Linked DNA regions of Oryzias latipes. The protein of the gene in region 2 purifies or fractionates together with the protein of the main gene of each other region. This does not show direct contact. Links are inferred from orthologs where the notes say so. Each region holds a gene or a part of one and is shown on either strand. Other genes may lie near its edges.

Evidence for each region.
Region 1: the proteins of lrrc59 (region 2) and ybx1 purify together in Homo sapiens (co-immunoprecipitation; 3 studies listed by BioGRID and IntAct, with this or other methods). This does not show direct contact. The link is inferred for Oryzias latipes from reciprocal best matches to the Homo sapiens genes LRRC59 and YBX1.

The regions. Positions count from the first base shown.
Region 1 is NC_019865.2:7,795,877-7,810,846, forward strand, and holds ybx1 (nuclease-sensitive element-binding protein 1), read left to right. Parts: upstream 1-3,826; 5' UTR 3,827-3,962; coding exon 3,963-4,074; intron 4,075-5,616; coding exon 5,617-5,680; intron 5,681-5,906; coding exon 5,907-5,940; intron 5,941-6,029; coding exon 6,030-6,119; intron 6,120-6,188; coding exon 6,189-6,470; intron 6,471-6,801; coding exon 6,802-6,899; intron 6,900-7,153; coding exon 7,154-7,394; 3' UTR 7,395-7,440; intron 7,441-7,805; 3' UTR 7,806-8,155; downstream 8,156-14,970. Other genes in the region: rho guanine nucleotide exchange factor 16, read right to left, coding at 8,743-8,882, 8,976-9,077, 9,652-9,719, 9,966-10,145, 10,808-10,959, 11,044-11,136, 11,230-11,304, 12,156-12,285 and 2 more. UniProt on the Homo sapiens protein: DNA- and RNA-binding protein involved in various processes, such as translational repression, RNA stabilization, mRNA splicing, DNA repair and transcription regulation.
Region 2 is NC_019877.2:13,735,930-13,752,470, forward strand, and holds lrrc59 (leucine-rich repeat-containing protein 59), read left to right. Parts: upstream 1-6,181; 5' UTR 6,182-6,357; intron 6,358-6,482; 5' UTR 6,483-6,490; coding exon 6,491-6,592; intron 6,593-6,752; coding exon 6,753-6,812; intron 6,813-7,447; coding exon 7,448-7,606; intron 7,607-7,713; coding exon 7,714-7,818; intron 7,819-7,894; coding exon 7,895-7,967; intron 7,968-8,083; coding exon 8,084-8,275; intron 8,276-8,361; coding exon 8,362-8,639; 3' UTR 8,640-9,604; downstream 9,605-16,541. Other genes in the region: 5-hydroxytryptamine receptor 3A, read left to right, coding at 1-43, 151-311, 404-614, 2,771-2,950, 3,060-3,127, 3,785-4,006; nat9 (N-acetyltransferase 9), read right to left, coding at 14,002-14,166, 14,231-14,325, 14,563-14,622, 14,704-15,038, 15,569-15,645.

The DNA.
Region 1 (14,970 bases), on a different chromosome or scaffold from region 2:
TTGACGAAGTGGATTTTTTTTTTACAATTTACTCTTCTGACTTTGTTGCACCAGGAGTCTAACAACAGTCAAATACTCTGTAGTTTTTCCCTCAATGTAAACATCAATCCTAGCCTCTCGGCGTGCTGTTTGTGCTGCTACAACCTCTTTGTGCCCCCATTATGCAGTGTGACATTTTCTATGTGACTAGCTCAGTTACTGAAATCGAGCAGTCCTTTCCACCTTTGTAGGTCTCTGAACTGCATTGCAGGTAGTAAAGGAAAACTGTGTGAATGCTGTTTGTGGCATGGTTAAGAAAGCTGTTCATCACAGCAAGGCAATCCACTCAATCTGGGATCTCAGCTTCCTGTGTGTGTTTTGTGTGGACTGTGGAGGAGTTAAATGCACAAAGATTATAATCTGTTTAGACTTTCATTTAAGTTCCTGGACACATTCTGAGAAGATCTACTGTAATTTAAGAGTCTTTTTTTTTTTTTAACAGAAACTGCATTTATAACTGGTGATGGATAAAACCCACTATCCAGAACTACTGAGATAGTTTCCATCATCCGTTCAGTGGCTTTATATTTATGGAACCAGAGCCAAGTCTTTGTAGAAGCTTATATTTTCTAACATTGACAACAATTAAGGGACAACAATAATTAAATGGCTGGGGTATTGTCATTTAACACTAAAATGGATGCCAACAGTTTCAGAGATGGTTAATTATCCAATTATATGTTTCCCCAATGCAAGGTGGAAAGTTGGATCTAGAAATAAAACTTATGACAGGTTACTGAAGTCACCTTGGAGATCCTCATCTTATCTAATCTTGGAAGTGTAGCAGGATTGGTCCTGGTTAGTTTTTGGATGGGAGACTGCCATCCAAAAACTGGGAGCACAGTAGTGTTTCCATGTGTGTTCAAACACATAGAAATGTGATAGATGGTTAATAGAGGGCAGAGTCAGGAAGGGGGAATCTGCTGTAAAACAGAAGCGGTTCCCCACAGAGGGAATGGCCAAAAGGAATAACAAACTATCACTGGGTAAAGGAAGGAGCTGTTTTGTATGAGGATATCTGGAGTCAATTCATCCATTTTCTATTCCGTTTTTCCCTTTCGGGGTCACGGGGCTGCCGGAGCCTATCCCGGCCACTTGTGGGCGAAGGCAGGGGACACCCTGGACAGTTCGCCAGTCTGTTGCAGGGTAGAATGTCCTCAATCACACACCCATTCACTCTCACGCTCACACCTAGGGACAATTTAGATTAACCAATTGACCTATGAAGCATGTTTTTGGACGGTGGGAAGAAGCCGGAGTCCCCAAAGAGAACCCACGCATGCACGGGGAGAACATGCAAACTCCACACAGAAAGGTCCCCATTGATGTTCTGTTTCAGGTCCCCCAGCAAGAAAGCCCCTGGACTTGAACCAGGGGCCTTCTTGCTGTGAGGCAAGAGCGCTGTTTGTATTTATATAGCCCAATATTACAACAAAGTTGCTTCAACTGGCTTCACAATTGTAAAAAGCATAAAATCAGTTGTAAAATACAATGTCTGATTGCTAAACTAAACTGGGCATCCCTGCCCTCAGACCCTCCTTCTCTGTAAGAAAAAACTCCTAAAAAAAAAAAAAAAACATTCGTGGAAAAAAATAGAAAGAAAACCTCAGGCATGTTCCCTTTGACAGGGGGATCCTCTCCCAGGATGGACAGGCGATGAACCAGGACTGTTAAAGAAGAAATAGCTCATCTAACTCTACAACTACCGTACATGTTTGAATAGTGTAGCAAATAGGCTTCATCCAGATGGTACTGGGGGACGGCTGGGAGCGCGAAACGAGCCAGAGGCGAGGTCCAAGGACAGGAGCAAAGACGGGCCAACTGGAATCTGAAATGGGAAAGAGGGACAACACATTAATCACACTGCACCAAACAGAGGCATGGAGAACTAGATGATAAATATATAATCAAAAATAGAGGAGAGGAGAAGTAGATGAGAATCGAGGACAGAATCCCAGTGCACCATACTTTTTCCAGCTTCTAACTTCTAGGAGCCTGCTAGCAACTAATTGCTATTGAAATTTAATTAAAACATGTTAATAGTAAGTTCCATGGCACATATAGCAGATGGGAATAATAATAGAAAATCTACATTTTTAGTATGTCAACTTTGCTTAACTCGGTGGCCTTGTGGAAGAGTGTCTGTCCTGAGACAGAAGTCAAGAGTTCAAATCATAACAAAGTCTCCAAAAAAGGGACACAACATTTGACACTCAGCATTAAGAGGTTGGATTGGGGGGTTCAGCAATCAATGGTGGCCGTGTGTGCAGCTCATTGCTCCCCCAGGTGATGGGTCACATGCAGTGAAGCAGTACAATACCAGGTTATAACAACTAAAAAAATATGTGAAAGGAATACACACCCTACATACAAAACGTCCGATCTGAAAAAAATCTCTTTTTTTCAAGAAACACGGAGATTGTTTCAAATATTCCAGTCAGTGCTGGAATATTTTCTATATTTCTATTTAATATTTCTCAAAAAAGGGCAGGATTGTCTTGAAAGTTCACTTTAAATATGGAGTTATTCTTGTTCTCACCATTTAAGGCAGGCATGTCCAAAGTCTGGCCGGTCCAAGGTGGGTTCAGAAACCTGTCAAAGGTTTCTTTCTAGATCTCTACAAAGTCTGGCCAAATGCAGCCCTCCTGAAAGCCTCTTCTAGCCTGCTGGTACCTTTTATAAAAATAAATGTGCTCCCAGGAAACTGTGTATGATTTCTTGATTATGATTGCCTACTTTATAAACCATTTTAAACCTATGGCAACACTATGATGTGACCCTTTTGCAATACCTTTTAGCTCATTTCTAAAATGTCGACTGTAAATTTAACAAATGTTGACAATTGGGGGTCGCTGCTTTCAGGACAAGTAGAAATTTGTGTATTTTTTTCAGTAAGATACTAAACATGCAAGAGGCTGGATGTTTTCAAGAAATTCAATATCAAGAGGGACTACAAGACAAGACATCCCAACTATGCCAAGCTAACTAGGAAAGAATGGTGCATGGTTTTCACATGTGAAATTCACTGTCATTTTGTTAAAGATTTATTAAGCTCTTCTTTTGTTCTATGTGTAGAAAATACAATTAATATGCAATAAGCATTTCCCTTAAACAGTTCATGTGCATTTAATGTTATAAGGGTTCAAAGAATGCAGGTTGAATGGTTGGTCCTCACAAATGTTCACCTCACAAAATCTAATTCTCTTTGCAAAAAGTCAAATCTAAAAATTTGCAGATTGGATCTTTTGTATTTTGGTTATCAAGTTTGGTTTTTGATGTTTAATCATCACTATTTACAGGTAACAACCATTCATTTTAAAAGTAAAAATAAAAAAGCAATATTGTGGATGTTTTTTTAAATTTACAATATATTCTGATTCTTTTGTGGGAGTCAAACTTTTTGAAATTTTACATAAATTGTTAGCCTCCAGCAATATTTAAAAGTAGGCTAATATTTCCTAATAATGCCATAAAAATGTTGTTTAACTACGGTTTTAAAAGGGGTTTACGTGGATCAACACTAGCTTTATGCGTCTTTTTTTTTAGTTTTATGCATCTGACACATGATTACAATGGGGCGGTGAAAACTGACAGGTACGGTACCTTTAACCAACCGTTCGTGAAAACGCGTCGCTTCAACTAGACTGACAGTAGTCTAGCCAATCAGAGGACGCCTTTTTTCTGTGACGCATTCAGTCAATAATTCCAGCCAGTGAAAAGCTCGAATGGGCGGGGCCACAACCAAGAACATTCCCCAACACAACTACTGATTCTGCCCAGTTCGATCGGCAACGGGAGCGGAAAGAGGAAAGCTGAGAGCCCGAAGGCAGTAGCCCCCACCACCGCCGGCCCACGTTACCATCTAGCACCGGGAAAAATAGCAGAGAGCCGCCGCCGGCAGAAGCCATTACCAACCAGTAACTATGAGCAGCGAGGCCGAGACACAACAACAACCACCGCAGCCTGCTGCCGATGATGCGGAAAGCCCATCCAGCCCGGCAGCTGCAGCTTCCGCGGGGGATAAGAAGGTCATCGGTAAGACTGCCGACTCCACTTAGCTAACTAGATGCTAAACGTGGTTTATGTTGCTGTAAACGAGACAGAAACAGCCGTTGAATTATGTTAATGTAAAATGACCGTTACGATCAACTTTATTAAGTAGTTGGACGTTAAACCGTACGTCGAATTGTGATACCAACTGTCAATATAATTATACATTTTAAAAACTGTCAGTTGGGAACGGTTATTCATTAATAGCGTATCATTCTCATTAACTATGAGATGTCACAAGTTTAGGAAAAATCCACATCTTAGAAATGTAGTAAATAACCACTTAATCCATGATTTTCTGTCTTGGTGGGAAAACATTTGCGAAAAAGAGACGCATGCATCCAAACGGCCGTCACATGGATGATCGTAGGAGTAATTTATGTCAGATCCAGCATGTTTACTACCAGACGTTGCAGACCTTTATCTCTCACCGTTAACCGCCAAAAGTACGAACAAAACCCGAAAAAATGACGAATAAATGTTTTAAACTTGGAAATACCCTGCGTTAGTTCACACTAACAAGTTCACCGGCAACTGACGCTAGCTGCTTACTATCCCTTTGTTCGCACAAGTGTCGAATCCCTGTATTCTCTGTCAAAGCTTAAAGGTGGTTGTTTTCAAGTTTATTTTGTAACTATTAGATATATTCAATAATAAACGCTTTGGGATTTGTATTCAAACCGTCCTAAGCTTTAACTCGATTTTTTTTTTACATTTTCGGTGAGGCCTAATTATTTCACGATAGCTTTCCAGTTGCTAACGATGCTAATGTTAGCCTAGCCAGCTAGCTGGCTGGCTATTTACATGGCTGAAAAGGCCACCCAAAATGTCCGCCGTTACACGATCCGTTTATACGTTACAGTTCTATTCTAGCTCGGTTTAGGTACTAAAAGCGCTTGCTTAAGTAGTTTCGAAGTAACATCTGTAAGATGTTGATGGGTTTATTACGTTGGTTTCCGCTTTTTGGCTATACTCCAACCACATGGTTGTAACTCTTAGCTACACGGCTAAGCTAAGAAGCCAACTCGGCTTGTTTTTCGGTCTGTCCGTGTGCGACCCTACCACGTGTGAACGCTCACGTCGTGAACTGGGCGTCTTAAAATGGGGCAGTAGGTCTTTAATGTCCGAGTTCTCTAAATGCAGTTGCTAAACGCGAGGTTACTTGTTTTGAAGTTTGACGTGTCGTAAGCTCTGTTCCCCGTGTTATCCGCATTCCTTCCACACATTTGCAGTCAATGTAATTGGACTGTTTTCTACCATGGCCGGAGCTTCACACCGGGAGCAGCTGGCGCCAGGCTCTCCTAAGCATCAGCATCTATAATAAGCACGACAGTTGGAAGTTATTTTTAACGTCCACACTATGGCTAGTTTTTTCCTGCACATATCTTATTATGTGCGATGCTTTGACTGTTCCCAATCTATTATCATATTTTCAAAATTTCATTACTGCTATTCTAAAATTACCTTTGCAGCTTAGAGAAGTAATATTGACACTTGATAACTGAGTTGCTCTGTTTTTCATTGCAGCAACAAAAGTCTTGGGTACAGTCAAGTGGTTCAACGTCAGGAATGGATATGGTTTCATCAATAGGTAAATGACCACCTCCAGCGTTCCCAATCCTATTATGATTATTGCTTTGCTAACGTGGCTGACCTGATTATTTTTTCTAGTGGTCTGCATGCACACTGTAACCTGCAAGACTTCATTAATCCTTGCACTTGTTGGCTTAGTTGCAATCTGTCTTCAGAGGTGTGTTGTCTTAGTAAGTCATGTGTGGTATAACTGAATCTTTTTATTTTTTTCTCTTTTTGTTCAGGAATGACACAAAAGAGGATGTTTTTGTACACCAGGTGACCTATTATTTTCCAAACCTTTTGGAAACTTAAAACATTTTTTTTTTATTTCGACTAATTCACTTTTCAATTGTTGATGATTTCAGACAGCCATAAAGAAGAACAACCCAAGGAAGTATCTTCGCAGTGTTGGGGACGGAGAGACTGTGGAGTTTGATGTAGTTGAGGGAGAGAAGGTAATGTTTTGGGAAGAATTTGGTTATGTTTGCAGGCATGTTGTCAATTTTAAACTTATCTGTTAACAGGGTGCAGAGGCAGCAAATGTCACTGGCCCTGGAGGGGTGGCTGTCCAGGGAAGCAAATACGCTGCTGACAGGAACCGCTACAGGCGTTACCCACGCAGAAGGGGGCCCCCTCGTGGAGGAGAATACCCAGAGAACTACCCAAGTGATGGAGAAGGCGAGCCTGGCAACGGAGTGCGTGACAAAGGAAACAGAGACGGGGGAGAAAGCGCCCCTGAGGGAGAATCGCAGCCACAGCAGCGCAGACCCACTTACCCCAGCAGACGACGCTACCCACCATACTTTGTACGTAGACATTATGGTCGTGGACCCCCGTACACCAATGCACCACGCGGAGAAATGACTGTGGTACGCGGTCACCAGGCTGCTATCCAGAAGTAGGCAACCAGTTGTACCATGACAGTCGAGACACTTGCTCTTCTCCCAACATGCTCCTTGGTAAAGCTCACGTGGTTGTGGTCAAAGTTTGGTGTATCGGGGGTCACGCTATTGTCCGATGGACTTAAATTGGCCGTCTCTTCTTAAAAAAGTGTTCGTGTTGCTTCAATATTTCTGTGCTATACTGAATAATCTGTTTGTTTGAGAAAGCTTTTTTGCTTGATTTGCTCTGTTTTAGGGAGTTGAAGGCGATGAAAACCAGGGAGGTCCAGACCAGGGCAACAAACCAGTGAGGCAGAACTACTACAGAGGCTTCAGACCAAGGTTCACACCCAGGTTTGCACATTGGCTTTGTCCTTGAATGATGGAGAAAAGCTTTCAGTATCAAACCAACATTTAAGTTGGAAAAACCAAAGTCAGTTTTCAGTCAGTTCTTTTCAATCCAGACCTGTATCAACTCGCTGGGATTTGTTTATATATTTTCTTTCTCTGTAAATTCAGAATCATTCCCGGTCCCAGTAAAGTATTTTTGTTCCTCCTAGATATCAATGTCCTTGCTCAAATTTTGGTTTTCCTCTCCTCCTTTTTAGGGGTCCACCCCGTCCCAGACCGGTGCGGGATGGTGAGGAGGACAAGGAGAATCAGGGAGGTGAAGGTGGTCAGAATCAACAGCCCCGTCAGCGGCGCTACCGCCGCAACTTCAACTACCGTCGCAGACGCCAACAGACTGGTGGTAAACCAGGCCAGGAAAGCAAGGATGCCAAGGCAGGAGGTGAACCATCTGCAGAAAAAACGTCCGCTCCCGAGGCCCAGCAGGGTGGGGCTGAGTAGGAAGCAACATGCCCACCGGCAACTACCATCTTTTACCATCGTCCGGGTGAGTGCACCCCCAGGACTGCTCAATATATTCTGCAAGTCTGCTTTAAGTAAAAAATTGCTGTCCTGATTTTTTGCAGTTGCAGAAACATGAGGAAAATGACACTAGGTCCTCTAAAACAGAAAACTTCTTCAAATAATTATGTATCAACGGTTGAAAAGCATATGCATTAAATCTTTTAAAATGTGAACATATGCTGTAGATTAACAGAGACTGTTTCTATTTGCTGAGAAGCAGTTTTAATTGCACTTTCCTTCAGTATAGTGATAACACTTTTAATATGTGCCATATCATATCAAGTTTAATGTTGAATGTGCAGATCGTTTATGGACAGTGAACTTAATTTTCTTTTCTTCTCTTTTCAGTTTTTTTGACACGAAGAAACATCAAATAAGATCTGAGCAATAACGATTTGACTTTAAGATCGTCACAAGCTTGCACCATTTTGACCAGATTACCAACGATTGCCTGCAGAATCTATGCAGACTTGGGTTTGTTTTTTTTTTGTTCTCCATTATTTTTATGTGACAGCTACAAAATGTTTTGGGGAAACGACAATGTTTTTCTAAATCTGTCCTAAGTTTTTACACCAAATGGTTTTTAAAAATAAAATGGAATTTGATATCTGGTCCGTTTGACATTTTTAAATAACTTTTTATGTATTCAAACATTTTAACGAAATGCAAGCTAAAATAAAACTCAAAAACCAGGTAAACCTTTTTTGTCATGGTGGTTTTTATTTTCAAGTATACAGGTTGTCCAGTTTTCATTCTTAGTAAGAAATACATCAGACTGGGGCATTTGGTTTAATAGACCAAGGTAAACATTTAAGTGTTAATAAAGGCTGGTTGAAAGTAATTAGATCACATGAGCATTAAAAAAAACATTCCAACATATTTGACACTGCAACGTTAATTCAACTTCCTTGTTAGGATTAGAGCCTCAGCTTAAGGAAATTTGGTTCACAAATCATGGATATGGAAAAATGTAACTGGTGCAGAAGTAAAGTAAGATTTGCACCTTTTTAAAATGTCTGTTATTTGCAGTGACAAAAAAGTCAAATGTTGGTTTGCGGAAACCTAATGGTTACATTTTATCCAAGGCCTCAGAGTTGAGTAAAGCCATTATGGTGATTTGCGTGTGCTATGCTGTGGAAGGTGACCCTGTTATCTCTGGTAAGTTATCTGGTGTATCCACTGGGATTGTAGTGGAGGAACAGGTCACAGGGCTAAGGCCACACGAGCAATAAAAAAAAAAAATTCATCCTGGCAAATTGCAGCACCAAAGTACAGCCATGAAGAGTCAAACGTTGGTCTCTTTGCGCAGACGTTTCATTTGTTGCACGTTACTCTCCATAGCAGTGGGGTTGGTGATCTCTGTGGCACAACTGGCAGGAAACCAGCCCCTTTCCCCATCTCGCATTCTCTCTGCATAGCACCATGCTGGAAGAGCAGACATGAATGAATGCTTTAATATGACTATTAAAAACATATACAGGATGCCTTATAACAAATCTGAATGGAAATACCCCATACCTTCCTCTTTTTTCATAACAAGGACAAGCTCAGCCTGTCGGAGGCCAATCTCATCTGGTTCCTTTGGGATGTAGGATTTAGTGGCCTCATACTGTGGAAGACCTTAAGCAAAGCAACATACAAATTTAATTTATGTAGGATATAGTAAAAAAAATGTCCATCTAAAAAAATAAAAACACTTCTACAGTAACACATCAAAACCTGCAATAGGGGTTTTCCATGACAATGAATACCTAAAGTTTTCATCTGTATCCGATAAAATTTTTCTAAACAAAAGGTCACAAAAAAGAAAAGCATAAAAACCGTAACCCTTGTGCTATCCTAGGCACTAACGTTGGGAGTGGGGTCATCTAGACCCACTAGACAGTGCGCTGAACCTTTTTTCTTCAATGATTTGTGATCTTCACTGGTGTCCATGGATTACATGAAATCTTTTCACCTTTATCATGGTAGGGAGAACACGTCAATGTAAGGGTGGGGTCAAAGATAGCACAAGGGTTAAAGGGTTCATTGCATCATTTTTGGAGGTTTAATTCAAGTAGTAAAAGTAGTGCAACTCCTGCAAACATTAAATTGAAAATCCATTATCTCAAAGGCACAACATTAAAAATGAAAAACACAATTTTTTGCTGTTTTAAATCGATGTTCATTTCATTGCTTTAATCATCACACCCACCTTCTGTGCATGTGGCATTCGCCTGTTTGTGCTCCGTGAGGGCGATAATCCAGCGTGCCCGATCCACTCTGAAAGAGTTGACAGAGGCAAGAGTAGAAAGGAGAAGAACAATAACAAGATTTGGTCAGCAGAGGGCGCCCAAATATTGTAAAGGTATCTATTATGTGAATGGACCAGATAATAAAGAAGAAATAGTTAAATTATCAAAGATCTAATGCCCAGTAAAACATACATTTTCTCTAAAAATGGACTTCCAGATTCCATTTTTTACACTTAATTTCTTGAAGTACACTGAAAGGAAAGAGCTGCAGTACCTGGAATCAGCTACTAAAGAGATTTGTTCCGATCTCCCGTCACTGTTCTTAGTCATCAGCAGTTTGAAGGTCAACGGCGTGCTTTTTGTAGGTGAACTCATTTGTCCATCTGTTTCCATCACATACTCCACTTCCACATTTTCCAGAGTAGCATAATCCAGAACCACAAAGATTTCCTCACTGGACACAAAAACAGTGTTCAGATTATTCTGTCCTCTAAATGCAACAAACAGGGAGGATAGTGAAAAATGCCTTAAAATGTACACAAACACATTCTCTTGAGTTTTACGTTTGCTTTTCCTGGATAATCCCTGAGGAAAGGTTGCAGTGCTGACTTTACAAACATTAAAATGACTCCACTGTCATGGGCAACTCCTTCCTCTGAGCCAACATTGTTTAGTTTCTCCCTAATTCAAAACAGACATCTGCAGTGAGTCCAGCTGACAGGCTGAATGCAAGATTGAAGAATCTGAAGTATGCTCGCACAACATCCAGACTCACTTCTCATTCTGTCCCCTTTCCTTTCATACTTTTCCCTGCCAGCATATGGACATTTCACCAATAAATATCAGTCACACTAAAATAAAACATTGTGAATAAACTGTGCTAAACAAATCCTCACACTCCTAGAGGTGCACCACATGGATAAAAAGGTGGTTTCAACTGAAGAAATATCTCAATTGTGGATTTTGAGGCAAAACTAACTCTATATGAGATCGTATGAGTCAAAATTCTGATATCAGGCGAAGTCTAAAGATGGTTCGAATGTTTCTTTTTTCTCAGTCTACAAAATGATTTCATTATTTAGAGGGTAAATAAAAGCCTGGTGAATTCCAACTCACGTCTTCTTCTTGGTGACAATGAGCACATCATTGAAGAGGAATAGGTAGTAGCTTCTGTTTGTGAAAGCTTTCCATATGCTGAGCTCTTCTGCAGAGATGTTCAGCTCACCACGCTTCTTCAGCCATCGTGATGAGGACACCAGAGGGAATGGCTAAAATGACAAGACGCCGGTGGTTTTTTTTTTTTTTAAATCAAGGCTTTTGTCCTTGTTCTTTTCACTCTGTTTAATTCTTACTTTGATTTTCCCAAAATCCATCTGCTTCTGGATGGTGTACATCTGCTCCGTTCTCTCCATTCTTCTAGCTCCATCATTGCAGCTAGTCACTAACTTTTGGGACGAAAACACCCAGATAACTATCTCCAGAGCCGTTACAAAACACAGATGGTTTTCATTTGTTCTATTTCGTCGCAGCGTTAATACCTTGCTCATGGCATGCAGGGCCCACACGGCTGCAAAGTACTCTGCTGTGTTTTCTGGAGTTTTCTGACAGATGGTCTGAGGACAGAAAAAAGTAAGTTTGTCTGCCTTTTTACTAGAATCTAGTTGAAGCATGATTGGAAAAAATATATTTTAAAAAATGTTAATCAAGAATTTTTCGCAACTGCCGAAAATGAGAAGTATTTTATGAAACCAAATTTGAGGAGGTTAACAGCAAAATTACATACAAGACATCTGCAAAATTAGTGCAACCCCTGTAAAAGTTTAATTTAGACTCAAGTTTGGTGAAGACCAAGTCAAGTCTCTGAAAATCACAAAGTTGAAAATATAATAAACACAATCTAAGCTTTTTTAAAACCATATTTTGAGAAACTGTAAATGGATGCCAAAAATCACTTCAATGACAGATTTTCTCTCAGCTTTGTTTCTATTCTTTGTTAAACTGTCAACACATTAAAAACGTTTCTAAAATAAACACATAGTGAATTAGAGAAGTAACAGCTTAGACAGGGGTACCGTTTTTGACAAGTCTGTACAAAACCTAATTCTGTAGACATTGCAAAGCCTTGTGGGTAAAGAAAAGAGGGTAGGTGTTGGTGTGAACCGCATGTGAAGTCTAGACCTTTTACTCCATAAAAGCAATATTGGTCAGTATGATGCCAAAAAAGGTTGCAAACCTGCAGGTGTTTGCTAAAAGGGACACAGAATCAGATAATCTAAAATAACTAAATAACATAAGGAGTTTTTTTAAAGAATAAAATTAATCTAATCTCATGATTAGTTTTATGTAACTTTTAGGAATTTGTCAATATCAGGGAAATAAAAGCGTACTGAGCTTTTTATTTCGTATCCTTTTTTCTGTTAGTGAAGTTATTTTAAACTGTTGGAAATGTAAAGAAGAAGCTTACATCGAGCAGCAGTGGCAGCCTGGTGACTCGCTGCATGGGTAGGATGAGGAAGGAGAACATGGGAAGGCCTCCACATTCACTGCTGCTTTCCAGCTGCTTCAGAGCCTCTTTGAATGCAGAATTAGTGTTCCTTGAAATCAAAAAAAAGATGCTTGGTCATCACATCACATCAAAAACAAAAACAAACTTGCAGCTTGTTCTGACTCTCACAGCAGCTTCTGATGAGTCCTCTGTTGGAACGTCTCGTTGGAGCAATACGCGATGTAAGGTTCGAAGTGGTGCGCTGCGTGGTTCTGAATGATATCGCTGATGTCGCGGATCACCACGTCCTCCTGGTGACGACGCTCCAGGTCTTCGAAAAACCTGAGCATCCAGAATAATGGAAGCAGTCAGAGACATATAAACAGAGGGGCCTTTTCACCCTTTAACTACCCAACCAAGTCAAAATTGATTTGAAAGTTTCTCTGCTGCTTATTGCCTTGGGCGACTAATACAAATACTCAATATTTTTTACAAAATGTTATCTAAATGTGCTCTAATGTTTAGTTGAGCAGGCAGTTAGTCCCCCATCCATCCATCCATCCATCCATCCATCCATCCATCCAAACTCGCTTTATTCCCAGTGCTGCCAAAACTACATTTACAGAAAGTAAAAATACACTTGTTTCAAGAAAAAAAAGTCATATTTTCTGTATTGCAAGATAAATAATCTTATAAAGTAAGTTTTTCCACAGCAAAATTATCTTAGTTTGAGAAGACATGTCTTGTTGACTAGATTTTTTTTCTTAAAATAAGAGTTCTTGGTAATAACATTTTCTTAGCCTTTTGGAAGACTTTAATAATTTAAAAAAAAAATCTCTGCCAAACCACCTGTGCGAATCAGTGAACGCTGATTGCTGTGGCGGCCCCTGAAGGGATAAACCAAAAGATGAACAATGTGCGAGGGGGGACTTATTCCAAGGGGTCTGTTTGAGCAGAGAGTCTGGGTCACAGGGATGTTGGAGCCTATAACCTACTAAAGTGTCAGCTCACAAGTCATTCCTGTAAAAATTGGCTGAAATAATTTATTGTTCTAAACTACTATTAAAATATTGTCAAAAACACAATTTAACTGGAAACCAAGACAGAGGTGACTTTTCTTCAACTACTTTTACCACAGAAGTTTGTCTCAGTTCATCCAGTTAACTGCACGGCTTGAGACACTGGCAAAGTAGAAGTAATTCAGCTGGAAAGAAGAGAATCTCTGGATACTTCTGCTTGTTCTCTAGTGTTATTGTATCTGGACCACAGTCAAAGTGATTTTTTTTTCCTACATTTTCTCAAGTTAGATGACCTATAAGTCATATTTTTGAATATCAGAAACTAAATAAAAGTTCTCGATGACACATTTTTTCTTTCTCCATTTTATATGTTGAAAACAAAAAACAATTTTAAGATCTTTTCTGCCAAAGTGCTTCTTTTGGATAGCAATACATTCTTTTGCAGTTCTGAACTTTGAACCAAAAGAAGTAAAATGACACCAAAAGCTAAACCACACCCAGAGGCAGCTTTATGACACACATTCACATGCAGATAACGTAAGGCGGTCAGATGTTCCATAGACAAGCTGAACTGTTCGTTGGCTTCACACATCCCATTTCACTGTCTTAAGACTAAACACAGTACTTTTCTTGCTCATAGAACAGAACCAATACTTCATTTATAAATGAAACTAAAAGAAAACAAAACAATTTCACTTCCAAACATTTTCATTTTAGGGCAAAGTACACAACTCGGTGCATTCAGGCAGCAAAACCGGTTTGGCTCACAAGTCCTAACAAGTTAATGGAACATACACAAAACTAAAGGCACACTGAGGGCAAATACTGAAACCGACAGGAAAGGAGCGTTTTCAACCCTTCAGCCAAAGAAAACCGGGTATATTTACACCTTCACGCACCATTAAAACAACTCAAAATCATTTCAGATCTGGCATTGTGAAAATATTACAATTTCATACAAACTTTAAATAGTGGTTGATATACGTTTCCCGTAACCCTTGGGCTATCCTAGGCACTTTAACATTGGGAGTTGGGTCATGTAAACCCCAAAAGACAGTGCGCTGAACCTTTTTTCTTCAGTGATTTTTGATCTTCACTGGTGTCCATGGATTACATGAAATCTTTCCACCTTTATCCACCTTTGTCATGGTAGGGAGAACACATCAATGTAAGGGTGGGGTCGTAGGATAGCACAAGGGTTAAACAAAGCCCATTATAACAAAACATGTTAGATTCTTATCAAAGTGGTAAAGGGTGTTGCTTCAAACCTTTGGCTGACTTTGAGAATTACAGAGATGTTGGAGAAGAGGTGGTGGTGCTCTGTGGGCGCCATCGTTTTACTCAGTGTTTTACTGTTCTTGAAGTGACGCACCAGGATGCCCAGGCTGTGTAGGTATGAGTGCTCTGAGCAGATGATCTCAAAAATAGCCTGCCAAATAATCACAGATAGGAAATGACAGATCACCGCACATTAAACACAAAAAACAGAACATGTATGTGTGTAAGCCTTTCCTTTAAAACTTTATCCTGAACCCACTTTAAAGTTTTTTTCCCCCCTTTTTTCGTGATAACCAGAATACATTGAAACAAGAAATTACTCGTGAATTTTATGTAGACACAAACGTGCAACAGTTATGTGCACATTGGTCCTTGGCTCAGAAAATAAATAAACAAACAGAGATATAATAAACTTCACAACCTTCTTAAATCTAGACAAAGTGGTCCAGAGAGGACAAAAAGAAAACAAAAAGACGTCAAATGAAACATATTCAGTA
Region 2 (16,541 bases):
CTTCAGAGCTGCAGTCTCACTTTCAAGTCAGTCTTGCACAATGGTGAGACCTGTTTGTTTGAACTGTTGTGACAAAACCCACTGAGCTCATTGAAAGCCAAACAAAATACATACACAAGTGTGGTAGAAACATCTCTTTTTTTCACTCAGATGAGGAGATGATGATTCAAGCGGATGAAAACAGTACACATGCAACGCTGTGGTCTCTTGAAATCATAAAGACACAGTTTGAATGGGTTTTTCTCAACATGTTTGTTTCTCATAAAGTCGCGGATTTCTATGGCTCAAACCAAACCACAATCATTTACACTGTAAGTAGCTTCATTGTAAGCCTAATAATATAGTAATTGTAAGTAAACAACAGCTTTTCTTTGTTAAACATAAAAATGTATCTTTTTTAAAGGTCAACATGAAGAGGAGGTCCATGCTCTATTGTTTCAATTTTTTGGTTCCCATCATATTCCTTATGATTCTGGATATGGCTTCCTTCCTGATCCCGGATGATGGAGGCGAGAAGCTCAGCTTCAAAGTCACCGTACTGCTCGCTGTGACAGTGATGCAACTTCTTCTAAATGAGATTCTGCCATCCTCAACGGACAAGATTCCACTTGTAGGTAAAGTGATTTAAAACCCTGCTCTTAGCCAACATGTGGTCCCTGTCCAAAGTCAAATCCCAATGTGCACAGGTCCAACAGATCCATTTTGCGGATGCATATAATGGAAACACAGCTTGTGATGGGATTTCTTTAGTGGTTTACTGAGTCTACTGGAATACCTCAACTGTACCTACAGTAATTTCCAGGTTACACAGTGCACCTGGTTACAAGCCACACCTACTCAATTCGCAAGTTGAGTTGCAATTTACAAACACAAGCTGCATTTGTATACAAGCCCCATGCTGTTACTAACACTATTGGCCCACCACTGATTTTCCTGACCCACAGACTGTGCGACTGGCTTCTGTCCCACTCAGGGATGAGTTGGCAGTGCATTAATTCATCAATTTGAACACATCCACATCTGCCAAACAGCATGCAGCTCACTTCTGCTCACAGGTCCCTCAGTTATGGTGAGGAAATTTACACCCGCGACTCCCCACTTCCCATGAGTCTTAGAGGCTTAAGGCGGGGCTAACCCCCAGGTCGCCACACTGTGTTATAGATCGAGGATGTATATGTGCTGAAACCGTGTTGTGCATGTTTAAGAAGGAGCAGCGAGCGGCAGCGGAAGGAGCAGAGAACGGGAGAGCAGCTCTCCTCTCCTTCCACGGCATCAATATGAAACAGGGCTGGTTATAAAAACATGCCAGTAAAAGAGAGCAGCAGTGACTTAAAGCGAACGCCTCAGTGCGGCACGCGCGCCTCAGCGCAGCACGTGCGCCAGAAGTTTCCTTGCACAACAGTGACACACTTGTTCCGCGGACGTCTCTGCGCTTCGCCCTTGCCCCGCGGCCTCCTTGTCTCACCCCTTGCGAGGGAGGAGCACTTCGTGCCCCCTGACGTCCGGTCACTGAGCGCGGAGCGCGGCTGCCAGTAGACTGAGCGAACCGTGTCTCTGAGCAGAGCAACCGGACTTAATAAGTTTTGTGTTTGAGGGGAGGGGAGGTTGCTTTGTTACGTGTGGCAGCCTTCAGACTGCCATCTCTCCTGCAGCTCTCTGTGATACAAGCAGCAGGAGAACATGTCTCCATCTCACACAGCGGCTTTGGGGCGGTGTGAGCTTTTCAAAGCAAAATGCCGCTCAGTCCTTAGAAACCTTCCAACAATCACGTGGATTTGTGTTTCTAGTCGTGTCCTGACAAAATATAGGCTGATGTTATTCCCACATATTTACGTAGAGCCAAGCTGCAGATTGCAGCATTTCCCGCATCGATTTATGTTCATCCAGGCTAGATGTTGTTGTTAGCGCATGTTAGCCTTCACCTAACCGTTCTTCCTGCTTCTTTCTGCCCCAAAAAAGCACTGACCACAAAATGATGAGCAAACAGGCTTCATAATAACCATAACAATAATAAAAACACGTTTAAAAGATCATCTCATATATATTACGGAGCTGCTACTGTAAATAGATGGGCCAGTGTCGCTCTGACTCGGAGGTTAATTCACTCCTGAGCTTGCGCTGTCCTCTCCGTCAGGCAGGAGACCGGCTTTTCCAAACCCGTTGGTGATGGTGGATTTTTTCACACTGCTTTTAACGATTGCTTTTAACTTGAAAGCTGCATCATATTGTGGTGGCAGTCACGTTCACGTTGGGTCTAATGGCACCATAGGATTGTGGGATGCGGCTGAGCATGGGTGTTTCTTTTTGTTGCACCATGACTGAAGTGTCATAACCTGAAGTCAGGTCCATGCTGTTTGGCTGCTTGTAAGTATGTCTTAAAAGAAATAGGCTTGCTGCTGGTAGTTGGATCATGCATTCAGTCTTCCCTCCGAGACTGCATGAGTGCTCCCGGCGGCTGTCAAACAAATCCATTAATTAGCCGCATCATTGAAAAAGCAGCAGGGTTGAAAGCGTATGAAAGGAGTGGTGGCTAATAGTCCGCAAATTACGGTAATCATTGGTCAAGGAAATGCAACTTCTAAAACAAGTACAAAATGTTTAATTAAGTCCTTTTTATTTATTTTCAGACTAAATCAACTTTTTATATAACTTGACGTAAGGCAGGATACATCATTATATAGGATACATCATGGAAATTAATCTCAAGCAAAATGTGTAATTAGAACTGTGTGAAAAGAAAAGAAATACTCTGCTTTTTGACACCCTGCAGTCCTCTTTTGCATTGGAATCTTTGGTCTGATGCTACTCAGCCTCTTGGAGACCATTTTTGTCATATATCTGAGGAATAAAGATTTAACAGCCCAGGACAGTGAAGTTAATGGAGACAAAAACTCAGACGAGGAGCAAAACAGTGAGAAACCCAAAGCCTACTTAATCAACGGCCTTAAAGGTCAGATTTTCTTCACAATTTACAAATATTTGACATTAAAGCATTTTCCACATGATACACAACAATTTCTATACAACTTCTTTTCTGCATTTCCCCTATATTTTTACAGCAGTGAAGAAATGCTGTCAGCCTGTCTGTGATAAGTCTTCTGAGGAAAACCCATGTTCAGCCAAAGAGGTAAAAGCTTCTAAGTTATGAAAAAGCCTTTATAAATATGGTTCATTTTGTCTATTTAAGTCAAAAATGAATTGCCTCAATAGTGTGTATTTACTAAACACAAAACCCATTTAGGTTTTGACACTGATAATCTTTCAAATTTAAACAATACGTTTTCAAATGGCCTAAGTTTAAAAAACGGACACGAACAGCACAAGAAAAAAACCAATAACTGTAAATTAACAGGGATTAGATGTTGTGTTACTTGATGGTTTGTAATATTTCACCTTGAAGCTATAGTTTTATGCTGGCCATTAGGTCATCTATGGCGTCATAGAACCTTGACTTTTTTCAGAAATGGCCAAAAGGATGCAACAAACAACTCTGACTGTTATTGGTGTTACCCCGTAGGGCCACTGTAGAAATGAGCACATCCCGCTACCAATCACAAGAATGAATCTCATGACAGCCATTTTTTCTGTGCAAGCCCACCGATGTCATTGCAGAGTCTCCACTCTGTCACTGTGTTAGTAATGGGGAGTTAATTAAACTTCCTAATTTTATAAATTGCAATGTTTAATTATTAGGTTCTTGTTTCTGGGTATAACCCTCACTTGCTGAAAAGACTAACAGGTTCTCACTTTGATAAGATTTCAACTAAATAAATATCTTCTGCAGGAAAACGCCAGTCAGCTGATGGAGATGTCCTTTGCAGTGGAGAAAGTCTCAGATGAGCTTGAGGACATGAAGAAAACCATAACTCTGCTAGGTAGCAAGAATGATTTGAAAGTAGGATACTGGACCAGATTATCAGTGAAGATTTCCAAAGGGTTTGGAACTTGTTATATTGTAGTAGCCTCTATATTTTTACTCGTCATCTTTTGTGAGTGGATGTCATAGGAATCAGCGCATGTTCCAAACAGAGCAGTTTGGTCTGGATGAGACTTCTTTTCCTTGTTCCTTGATTGGTGTGAAATTTTTTCTGATCTGATGGGTGGACCATGGAAGTATATTTTGAAAAACAATTAACTCATTTTTCTTGCAAGTGAACCTTAAAGCAGTCCAAAATCAGTGTAATTTGAAAATGTGAAAATCAAGAAAACTTTGACAACATCTGGGGTTATTGTTTAGGAGCACTATTTTCACCAAACCACAACTATATGATTTTCCCGAGACTCAAACTCTGCACTGAAAAGACTGCAAAAGGCAAAAAATGACAAGAAAATATGTAATACTTTTTACCACTCATCTCCCTTTTTATTTTGTTTTACTGGATATAAATATGACCTAAAAGTATCCAAAACCTATCACTTTTTTGATGATAAACTTATGAGAAGCAACATATATATTGGTCATGCTCTGCCGCCAGTGCCTAAACTGTCATAATATCATAATGAACTGAACAGACATGATTTGTTTTCCTAAACATCTACCATATTTTCCACATCATAGGGGCCACCAGATTGTATGGCGCACCGCGCATGCTTGTCTTGGTGCATTCTTTCTGACTTTGGTGAGTTTGAGTATGATTGGACAGAGTGACAAACGTACAGGTACAAGAGTTGACAAAAATACTATTTACCCGTACAATGAATTTGGTGGAAGTGAACCACTCAAAACATTTGCTACATTGACACTAACTTTTTTTAAACACGCTTCACATTAGCCACGTTAGAATCTTTAGCAGCATATTCATAATACCCGTTATTCCCAACCTTGTTTGTAACAGACTGATACCAATTAAACAAACATTACTGTGACTACGCTAACTCCCAACCTCATAACCTTGCTCAATCATTCAAACAGTAATTAGCATTGTAAATTACCATCTATTTTCCACTAATTTGTCATTTTTAAAGCATGTTTAGCAATATGTAACACATAGGTGTCAACATATTGTGAAATTTTTGTTAAAATACGTGTAATGACATTTTTGTAAGTGGAAAATGCTAGAAGAGGAGCACAATAAAGAGAGTCATTAGGGTTTTTGAGGTTCAAGTTTTCATGAATACATTTAGCTTGGGCATGTTGGTTGTGGCATGTGTTTTCCCTGTATTTGTATGGCTTTTCTCTTGTTCAGTGTTGTCAGCACAAATACTTGAACCAAATTTTTAGTTAGGGACTGTGCAAGCCAAAAATAAAGCAAGACGCTAAAGAAAAGTCATTTTACTTTGGGGGACTGTAGAGGAAAATAACTGTAACAGAACAATAAATGGCTACAAAAATAAAAAAAACTGTGTTATCATTGAGGAATTGTAGATTCCATAGAGTTTTTATTCTTTGTAATTGGTTTTCAAGAAGCTTTTGTAAGAAAATTGTCTGGATTATAAAATTAGTGGATTTAAAAAAGAATAACACATTTGTATATCAAAGGGAATTTTTGAAACCATTATATGTTTTGATTTCATTTGTAGTAGTAAATAGACATTGTTGCAAATGTACAATGTTACTGTGAATTTGGTGTGTGATACACCAGCATGTGTTGGATTACAACAACCTGCAACATCAGAATAACAACGTAAGGAAAGAAAGACAGACCAAAGGTACCTTTTACGAGGAGAAACGAACAGCGATAATCCTCAGCAACAATCGCTCTCCACTCTGGCGCATATTCTGTCACCTCCTCTTTTATTAAGTTTGTTGGGTATTCCCTAATTTACATATGCGCTGAGTTCTAAGGAGGGGAAACAGATAAAACACAGCTGCAGCGCTATCAGAAAACATTAATTGCAACATGTCTGTCTTTTCACAGTCTTCCCACGTCATCCGCAAACGGACCTGCAAAGTCTTTCCTCGGGGGCTCAAAAAATGATCAATCACAAAAATTAAATAGTTGGAATAGGAATAGGCAAAATTAAATGCACTATTTAGTGTCTTTCTTTAAAAAAATAGATGTGCATCAATTTTCATTAATTTTTTATGTATTTATTTATTATCCAAAAAATAAAACAAAAACTATAATTTTCACGTTGTGAGCACTATGGAAATGGAAAAACAGGAGCTTGTTATTTGGCCAAATAGTAATAGCAGTCATTCCTCCGCGCCTCGGAGGGGCGCTGTTCTCTGCGGTGTCCCTGCATTGTTGCTCAATCAGTGACGTGGACTTTCATTGAGAGGCAGTTTGTGCGGACACTAACAGCGTTTCTGAGATTCTTCTGTCAAGGTTTCCTCAGATATATCAGTCAGGCCTTCAGTGCTAACCTTTCGACAGACCTACGTAAAGAGCGGCTTTGTTAAACGTTCCGTATCAGGTGAGAGCCTCGTCGTCATGTGTGGATTTCGGTGTTTTGTGGAGTCTGACATAGTTTTCTAAAGTTTCCTCACGCTTTTGTTTGTTTATTGCGGTTATATTGCTCTGTTTTTTTTTTCCTGACAGGCTTCAGGATGAGCAAATCTAGCAAAGCGTTGAATCTGAAGGATAAACTGAGTGGAAATGAAATGGACTTGAGCCTGTGTAACCTCTCTGAGGTTCCGGTCAAAGAGCTTGTGAGTCAATTATGTTTATTAATAGTTAATTTAAAAAACACACACACAAGTAACACGTTTAATTAAAGTCAGGACTGGTTTGGTGTCTTTCTATAGTTCCTGCTATAAAACAATTGCAATAATAATAATAATATTCATTTAATTGTATGTATTTTTTAAGGCCCAGCTTCCTAAAGCAACAGTGATGGATTTGTCCTGCAATAACATCATCTGCCTTTCTGTAAGTATGAGTACAAAATCAGCAACATATGTCATTTATTGTGCTTTTATATATACATTTAACAGCATTATCTCTTGTTTTTGTTAAAGGATCAATATTGAACTTTTATTTAATCGGACTCCCTTTTTTGTATCAATTATATCGTGTGTCGCATGAATAAAGTAAATGTTTTGATCTCTAAACAGTTTTTAAAACTCTTTCTTTATGTTGCCATGAACTATTAGGTTCCCTTCTTTGGATAGGCACAGAAGTCGCCGTTTATTTTAATAAACTTTTTCTCTACCATTATTCCTGTTCCTCTGTCATCCATCTACTTGTAGTGTTAAATACCCACCCTGAGTAAAATTGTGTTCTTGGTATTTTTTAGCATGTTCTTGTGACATTTTCCTGATGATAAGGACGAGTATAAATAGAATTCAGCACAAATTGCCTAAGTATTTCTTTATTCAAATTGCTGTGAATCAGGAGCAGATGAAAAGAATCAGCGTGAATTTGTGATGTAGAATATAAGCTGGGTGGTCTTTAATTATAGGGAATGCATTGAAAATAGATCAAAATATGATTAGTGGGACTTTTAGCGGTGTTTGATAAATCAGAATTTTTACATTTTGGTTTGCTGTGTTTCTGTCCTGCAGCCAGAATTCTGCTCGTTGACCCACCTGGTGAAACTAGATCTAAGCAAAAACCAGCTAACCTGTCTGCCAGATGAGTTTGGGAACCTGGTCAACCTTCAGCACCTGGACCTGTTCAACAACAAGCTGATGACCCTGCCCGTCAGTTTTTCTCAGCTCAGGGTGGGTGGTGTGCAGCGTCTGCACTTTTGTCACCATTTGTGTCAGTCAGAAAGAGGCTGTTGTAACCAAGTCGGACTGAGCGTATTTTGGTTGGTTGGTTTGTTTAGAGTCTAAAGTGGTTGGATCTAAAGGATAACCCTCTGGAGCCCACTTTGGCAAAGGCAGCAGGAGACTGTCTGGATGAGAAGCAGTGCAAACTGTGTGCCTCCAAGGTGAGATAGAGGAACATCAGTCCAATGGTCTGCTCTGGAAGAAAAACCTCCAAACCTATTCATCGTGTTTTTTAAGGTTCTGCAGCACATGAGAGAAATTCAGGAGGAGGTGGACCACGCCAGAGAGAAGCGCCTTTTAAGAGAAAAAGGTGAGTTTCTAGAAATGTATCGTCTAAAGAAGGTTGTTTTGGGGTTTACCAAAAAAATGGAAAGTTTTGCCATTTACTGCATGTCTTGTAAAAATCTTATTTTTCTTTTTATTTAGAGCTGGAAAAGAAAAAAGAGGCAAAGCAGAGGGAACGGGAAGCCAGAGAGAGGGAGGCTCGCAAGCGGGAAAAAGCCGAGGAGAAAGAAAGGAGACGGCAGGAGTACCAGGCTCAGATGGCGGCTGTGGCGGCAAAGGAGCAACAGAAGAAGAAGAATGAGGAGAAAAAGAAAAGAAATGGACAGGCAGCAGGTGGGATTTAGGTTTTCAGTTTCTTGAATTGCTTTTCATTTATTTAAATTCTTTCTTTTTTAAATGGATGTCTTATTTTGTTTCAGCAGACAAAAAGGCGGCTGTGGAACCTGCGTCTAAACCACGGCGATCTCTTATCGGACTGATGTTCAAGCTTCTCCTCCTTCTGATGCTGGGTTTGGCCGGGGCTGTTGCCGCCTGCCGGCTGACCGACTTGCAGAAGGAACCGGCCTGCGTGCCAATCAATGTTGCCGTGGACGACGGCTTGGCCTGGGCCAAAGTGCAGGGAGGTGTCGTTCGACAGCTGGCGCAGAATCTGTCTTCTGCTGCAAAGGAGCTCCTAGAGTCCACATCCAAAAGCTAAATGCTCTCATGCCGGCTCGCTGTCAGAGGGGCAGGATTTTCATCCTATCCTGTGAACGACTGAAATTTTCCTCCGGAACATCAGGAAATCACCTGGAGAGCGTCTGTCGTTGGTACTGGCAAATTGTCTGCACAAATAGACGTTTGTTGAGGGGGAGATGTGTTGAAACCGTCCTAAATTCCTATGGAATTGTCATTCTTGTACCCTCTTTGTACTACAGTCTTTTTTTTCCTTATTTAATCATCTTTTATGTCTCCCGCTAAAGCTGCAGGAAACATAGCAGAGCCGTTCAGTGAAACCTCAAACAGCCCTGTTTGTGCTGCGCTAGACTCTTAAAGCCTGTTCACTGTCCGATGAGCATCTACAGAGGCTAGATGTGGCAGTCTGAGCATGTGCAGTGGAGCACCTATATATTCTCAGGAGTCAAACTTTAAGTCTCAACTAATGTAAAACGAGAGGCTCACCATTGTTCCAAAGATTGTCACAAGACTGATGACATAAGCCCAAACTTCCTAACACTGTTCCTCTCTCATGATCTTTTGAGTCAAATCTTAAAAAATACAACATTTTGTTAGATTAATGTTTTAACTGGTTAAATAATTCGTGAAAATTCAAGTGATTCAGGTTTAAACCCAAAGATTTGAGTTTAACAAAAATGAAAAAACTCAATTTGAAAAAGCTAAAATGAGCTTTTAGTTTGTGGATTAGTGAAAAACTAATCATATTTTCTTCATTATTCTGATAGGATATGTTTAAGAAATAAAGTAATGTTATAAAAACATGGTTTAAAAGCTGGTCAGATAACATGTACCTTAGTCTGCTTGTAAAGATCAAATTGCATTTTCCTGCTTTTGATTGTCACCAAGTTTTATTTATTTCTTAACTATCTTGAGGAGTGAGACTTAAATATGAAAATCTGCGTTTAAACTGCTTCACCAATAAAGAAGCTTCATGTCTGAAGTGAGTGACTGGGGTCTGCTTGATTTCCATAATAATGAATATAATAAATCAGGGGCAGTTTGGCTAAAACCTAAACCGTACTTTAAAGGTCAAGTTAATTTAAAAAAATTTGAACAACTAAAGCAAATCTTTTCTGTCAAGTTTTAAAAGACCTTACACCTTTTTTGCTTTTTGCAGAGCATTAAGTTTTAAACACTTAGTATTAAAAAGTGTGCAGCAGAACATTAATGTTGGATGTGTTAAGTAAGGGTTAATGGCCGACAAAGTGTGCGTGTTCAGAAATTAACGCACGCCATCTGCTTCGCGTTGACGGTTGCTTCCGCGTTAATTCCTGATAATGCACACTTTGAAGGCCATTAACCTTATGCCATGGTCACTTACAAAAGAAATACTAAGTTGTTTGTACTTTATTGTTATATTTTCGGTTTGATGGCTTTTTTTTTTTCTTTCACAAAAAACTATTTGTTACGTGATGCAATTTGTGGTAGCGGCTGAGTCGGCACGGACCTCGACTGCAGCGGGAAAGGAAAGCGATAATATATGCTGATTGTCACTGTGGGATATCCCTTGTGCTATCTTAGATGACCTCACCCTTACATTGACGTGTTCTCCCTACCATGACAAAGGTGGATAAAGGTGGAAAGATTTCATGTAATCCATGAAGATCACAAATCATTGAAGAAAAAAGGTTCAGAGCACTGTCTAGTGGGTCTAGATGACCCAACTCCCAACGTTAAGGGTTAAGGTAATGGTAAATACCTTAACCCTTAACGTTGGTAAAGGTAATAAATGGCGTATACTTATATAGCGCTTTCTACCCTCTTTCCGAGGCCCAAAGCGCTTTACAGTCACAGTCCCATTCACCCATGCACACACACATTTACACACACATTCACACACTGGCGGCGGCTCCGCTGCCGAACACTGGCGCCAACCTCCCACCAGAGGCAAGGTGGGGTTCAGTGTCTTGTCCAAGGACACTTCGACACATGGGCGTGCAAGGCGGGACCTGAACCTGCAACCTTACGATTGGGTCGATCGCTGCACCACGGCCGCCCGTAAAGGGTTAAATAAAGCATCAGTTCAGAGACAAAGTTCACCTCTTACTGCTTGTTTTGTCCAGGTGATGAAGCTAAAGTTTGTTTCAAAATAGCCAGCGCAGTGATACAAAACATTCAATGTATGAGACCAGGGGCCTGTTTCAGAAAGGTTATGTGTAAACTCTGAGTGCGTTAACCCTGAAATCAGGGAAACCCTGGGTTTTCCATTTCAGAATGGGAGGTTTGTTAAACCAGAGAAAGCAGAGTAAGTCAAACCCGTTTCTGAAAGAGAGGTAACTTATACTCGGAGTCAGTGTCCATGGTTACTTACGCTGTGAACCTAACCTGGTCGGGAGAAGGTTTTATTCCCTAAACTCAAGGTTTCTGCCGGTCCCCTCCCCTTTTTAAAGACTAAGCGGTATTTTTCGCTTTAACCTTCATTGCCCAAATTTGCGTCACACAGAGACGGTCTAAGTGACAAGAATGGCTTGTCCTTTTTCGGAGGACCCAATAGACGAGGAGGCTGCATTAATTCATAGAGAATTACATTTACGCCGTGCGAGGATTTTGAGACCTAGACTCGATATTTTGTCATTTCCCCATACGTTTTTGTTTGAGCTTTACCGTTTTTTGTTGCAGTCAATTACATATAAACAATGAAAACATTAGATATGTATTGCTATGTAGATGTTTCATATGTCAAATATTGTCAACAAAGCCTCCATCCATGACATGCTCAGATTTGACCTGATTGAATTATGTTTTTATACTTCATTTTTAGCTGCTGCCATGTTCTTTTAATTCCTGCAGGATTGCATCTACATGAAAATAAAATCAGGGACATTGAATTAGATTAATGTAACAATTAATTTTTGGAAACACAATTTGCTAGTACTGCTTACTTTCTTAATCCCATATAGACCTATATCACTTGATCAATACAAGGGTAGACAAAAGTTCACTTTTAAAAACACAATTGAATGTATTAATATTAAACTGACCAACGTTTGCAAGAGGGGAAGGTTAACAAGAAAGTCCTCTAAACATTACCGACGTTAAATGCATTTTCCCCCAGATTGGTTCTGTACACTATGCAGCATTTCATGCAATTACACCAGGAATAACACTTCAAAAGTACACCTAAATATCGCCATTTTTTATTTCACACCTTACGCAATTTAAAAAGTTATTACAGCCAATATTTTATAACAATGATTTAAATGCAAACTTAGGCATTAACTTGAGCAGCTATGTTTTCCACGCTAACTGTCTCTGTTTTGCAGATTCAGCGGTGTTGCTTTTCTTCCGGAATATGTGCTCATATTCACTGTAACTCTGCAGCAGCACGTCAAGTTCAGCTGGCGAAAAATATGCAGACCTCTTTTTTTCCACAGTTGCTATGGTGACTCGTGATATCTGCGCTCCATTGATAATGGCTTCTTATAGTCGCGGTGCGCACGCTTAACTCCGAATCAGTCCACTCAGAATTGATTGATCTAACTCGGATCAGCTTCTCTGAAACAGAAAACTCAGAGTTGTTAATCTCTCGATTGACCAACTCAGAGTTCAAGTTTAACCTCAGAGTTGGTTGAACCTCCTTTCTGAAACAGGCCCCAGAACTTCCTTTTTGGGTGTGCATTATCCCTGTGTGATGTCACATCCAGCAGCCAATCAGAATGGAGAATTCACCCGGACCATGGTATAGATCTCTAGAAACAGAACTAAATGCAATTTCTCACTCACGTCTTATTTCTGGGTTTTAATAAAAGTCATACACAACCAGTAGAGGACACTCCAGCAGGTCTCTGCATTTATGTTTTGCACTGAAACAAAGTTATTAAGGAGATATGAATATTTGATACAATTCAACAATTGATCTTAAAGTAAAAGAATTAGACATTGCCAGGTTTTATTCCCTTCACGTTTCTATTGGCTACAAACATTGGAATTTAAATGTCACTTGTAATGATGCCAAGTAGAAAATAGTCATTGTGGCATTTAGATTTATTACATGACATTACTAAAACTTTCCCTCACGAAAATACTTCACTCATGTTTGATTACCTTAGAATAATTTTCAAACTGGTTTGATATGTATTTTGTGTGAAAAGCTTCTTTCTGTAGGTAGTATCTGAAATTCATAATTTGCGTCCATTTAATTTTTTTGTGAACTAAGAATTTTTCTATCTGAACAGTTTGCTATAATAGATGAGGAAAAGTGTTGAGCTATGGTCACTTGGGGTATGTGAATAGGATAAAATGCGATAAATGCCCATTCTTTTAACCCGCTGTTTGCCCCTGGGCCTGGACTGTTGCTACCTGAAACTAGCGCAAGTCCGCCACCTACAGGTGGAAGAGGCTTGATACAAGATGTCAAAGCGGAACAAATCTCATGATTTTGCTTCAGGCTTTTTCTTTCACAGCTCTATTCCTGTACATAAAAAGATTTGGTATTATAGAATTCTAGCTGGGCACAAACTGCAATTATTAATCTCTCCTCCAGGATCAATTTTTAAACAGACCGTGATTTAAAAGTGACGAAACATCACTACCAAATTTGAGGATCCCTGATTGGTCAAAGTCCGACCTGCTTAAATTTCAACACGCGTTTAATGGCGTTTTAGGTGCGTAGCTACATGTGAACATCAGAATTTTGAATATGGAAGCCCAATACGCACATTTCCCTGCATTGAAAATGGTCGCTGTAATGTGTGTCGATGAGGGTGGGGTGAACATAGCATCACAGAAACACTCACTTTATAAAGAAAAAGTCATTTCATATTAAAAAAGAAAAGCAAAAGTTTGAATTTAGTCTGAAATGATCATCAAAGATAACATATTTTTTAACTGTATAAAAATTCAAAAAATTTCACTGTAAGATTTTTTTAAAGAATTTATTTGTATAAAGTTGCAGTGGGAGGGGCATTCCCCCTCATGAGAAACAAACTGCATCCACTGCTTTGATCAATCAGGGACTCAAATTTGGTAATGATATATGGAGAGCGTCCCTTTAATTTAATTCACTGTTTAAAAATTGATCATGGAGGATAAATTAATAGTTGGGATTTGTGCCCAGCTGGAATGCTATGAGTCTGCTTTAACTTTCAACGAGCTGTGCGCTTCACGGAAACAGTCGTTTTATAAAGAAAACGTAATTTCCCTAAAAAAAGAAGACAAAAAATAAATAAAGTTAGTGTAAATGACATTCACTTTTTTAAATTGTACAGCCCTTTTAGAGGAATCTCACAGCTACTCACAGCTATGTTATACCTTCAGGAAATAGAAAATGCTCTGGCAGACCTCCAGCTGCATTGAGATACTGAGTTCCTGTAAATTCTGATCTGTGTTAGAGCTGCAGGCTTTCAGGAAGCTTGCGTATCGTTCTGTCCTTTCTGGGCACGTCTGCCGCTGCAGGTTTGTCTGTAGTCCCTTTCCTTCATCTGGACTTCTTCCAGTAGTGTCTTCTGAACAGACTCGTCCACCGTTAACTCGAGGGTCACCTCTTTGAACACCTGACACACAGACACCTACAACAGAAACAGCCGTGACTATTATGAAAGCCCCTCAAAGCAGAAATGAACATCTACCAACCTCCTGGAAGTGCAGCTTTTTGAACATGGCGATGCTGGTGTGGTTGTCCAAACCAATTTTTGCTTGAAACCTTTTGATCCCAAGTTTGTTGACTCCTGATGGAAGATTGTGTACAACTTATCACTAAATTTGAATTTAACAAAAATATTAAAAGTTTTCAGGAGGTAATAATTTATTCCATAAAGTGATGATTTTTGAATTTTTTTCAGGCTTGTGGCCAAAAAATGTTAGATTTTGTCACAACTCTCATCATCTTAGTATAAACGCTAGACTAAAAGGAATAACTGTCAATGTGTTGTAATAATTTTGTCAGTGATGCAACAGCTGCTCACCATAGCACATCATCATAAGTGTCACCTCCTTCCCGATGCCTTTGCCTCTGTAGCTCTCTTCTGTTGTGTGACAGAATATTTGCCACTGAGCACAGGAGGAAAAAAATGCTAGAAAAGGTTTTCTTAATAAACATGAGTCACCTGCTATCATGATCTCCAGCTCAGCCAGGGAGGGATCAGTGGAGTCGGTCAGGAAGATGTTAACATCTCCCACCATGCAGGTCTCCTCATTAACACTGGGGTCGGCCCACTTCTGTGTATCCAGGATGATAAATGTGCACTCTGGGAAATCAACAGTGTTATGAAATGTTGTCTCTGTCTGGTTATCAGGAGTTGTTTTTGGTGCAAAGACCGATGACTCCGTACTGTCGTCGTCCTCCCTCCAGCTCCTCTGCATGTCGTACTCCTGTTCCAGGGTCAGTGGTTCTGAGGCAGTGAGTTGCTGCAGCTCTGGAGACTTCATCCACTCGTGGTACCTGCAGGATACAGAACCCTGACATAAACAACATCCTCTGTGCCTCTGCTTTTTCTAGGCTATACATTTAAATTGAAGACAAAAATCCTATTTTCTAAAAAAAATAAAAAATCACCAAAAGATGGTTGCATCAAAAATAGTTTTCAACTAAATCCCAAATTTTGAGATACATGTTTGTCATTTTTTTGAACAATTTAACATTTACAATTTCATGTTTACAGTAAAATCTATTTCATTTCACTGTTAATGCTGCTGTGGTTTCTTAGTCATTATTTCCTCAGAAACAAGCGTACTAAAACCTGATTTCTACAAACAACAGATTCTCATGTATTTATGTAAACAAAGCCATAGAATAGAATAGAATTATAGAATAGAATAATAGTTTATTGCAACGAACAGCACCACATCGTTGTTATTTTTCATTTATATAATATTTTTATACAAATTTTCTTTACTTTTTTGTATACGTTAGTCTATACGACGTCACGGTGAGTCTCTTTGTGCTGACTGAATGAAGGACAACTGTGTTACCTGGGCACGTGCTCTGCATTGTAAGGGACCAGCAGGACTCTCTGTCCCTCCAGCAACGTGTTTTCATTTATCTTCATACTGAAGGTAAAGCAGCTGACTCCTGCACACTTTACGCTCCCTGCATGACCATCGGCACTTCCTTATTCACAGAGACTCGTGCTGCGCATGCGCCAAAGGCTCTGGCTGTGTGCTGTTTTTCAAACTGTGAGGTGCGCCCCCCAGAGGACAAGATAGAGTATTGCTAGTCTTTCTCTTTCGGCTTTTCCCATCAGGGGTCGCCACAGCGAATCATCCTTTTCCACCTCACTCTATCATGAACATCTTCTACCCTAACGTTAGCCAACTTCATGTCCTCTGTTAAGACATCCATATATCTCCTCTTTGGCCGTCCTCTTGCCCTCCGGCCAGGCAGCTCCATCTCCAACATCCTTCTACCAATATATCCACTATCCCTCCTCTGAACATGTCCAAACCATCTCAGTCTGGCTTCTCTGACTTTGTCGCTAACACAGGCAACATGAGCCGTCCCTCTGATGTACTCGTTCCTTATCCTGTCTAACCTGGTCACTCCTAAGGAGAACCTCAACATCTTCATCTCCGCTACCTCCATCTCAGCCTCTTGTCTCTGTCTCACTGCTACCGTCTCTAACCCATAGAGCAGAGCTGGTCTCACCACTGTCTTGTACACCTTTCCTTTGAGTCTTGCTGGCACTCTTCTGTCACACAACACTCCTGACACTTTCCTCCAACCGCTCCAACCTGCCTGCACTCGCCTCTTCACCTCTTTTCCACAATCCCCATCACACTGAACTGTTGACCCCAAGTACTTAAACTCCTGCACCTTCTTCACCTCAGTCCCCTGTAACCTAACGCTTCTACCTTGATCCCTCTCGTTCAGACACATGTATTCTGTCTTACTACGACTGACCTTCATGCCTCTTCTTTCCAGAGCAAACCTCCACCTCTCTAGCTG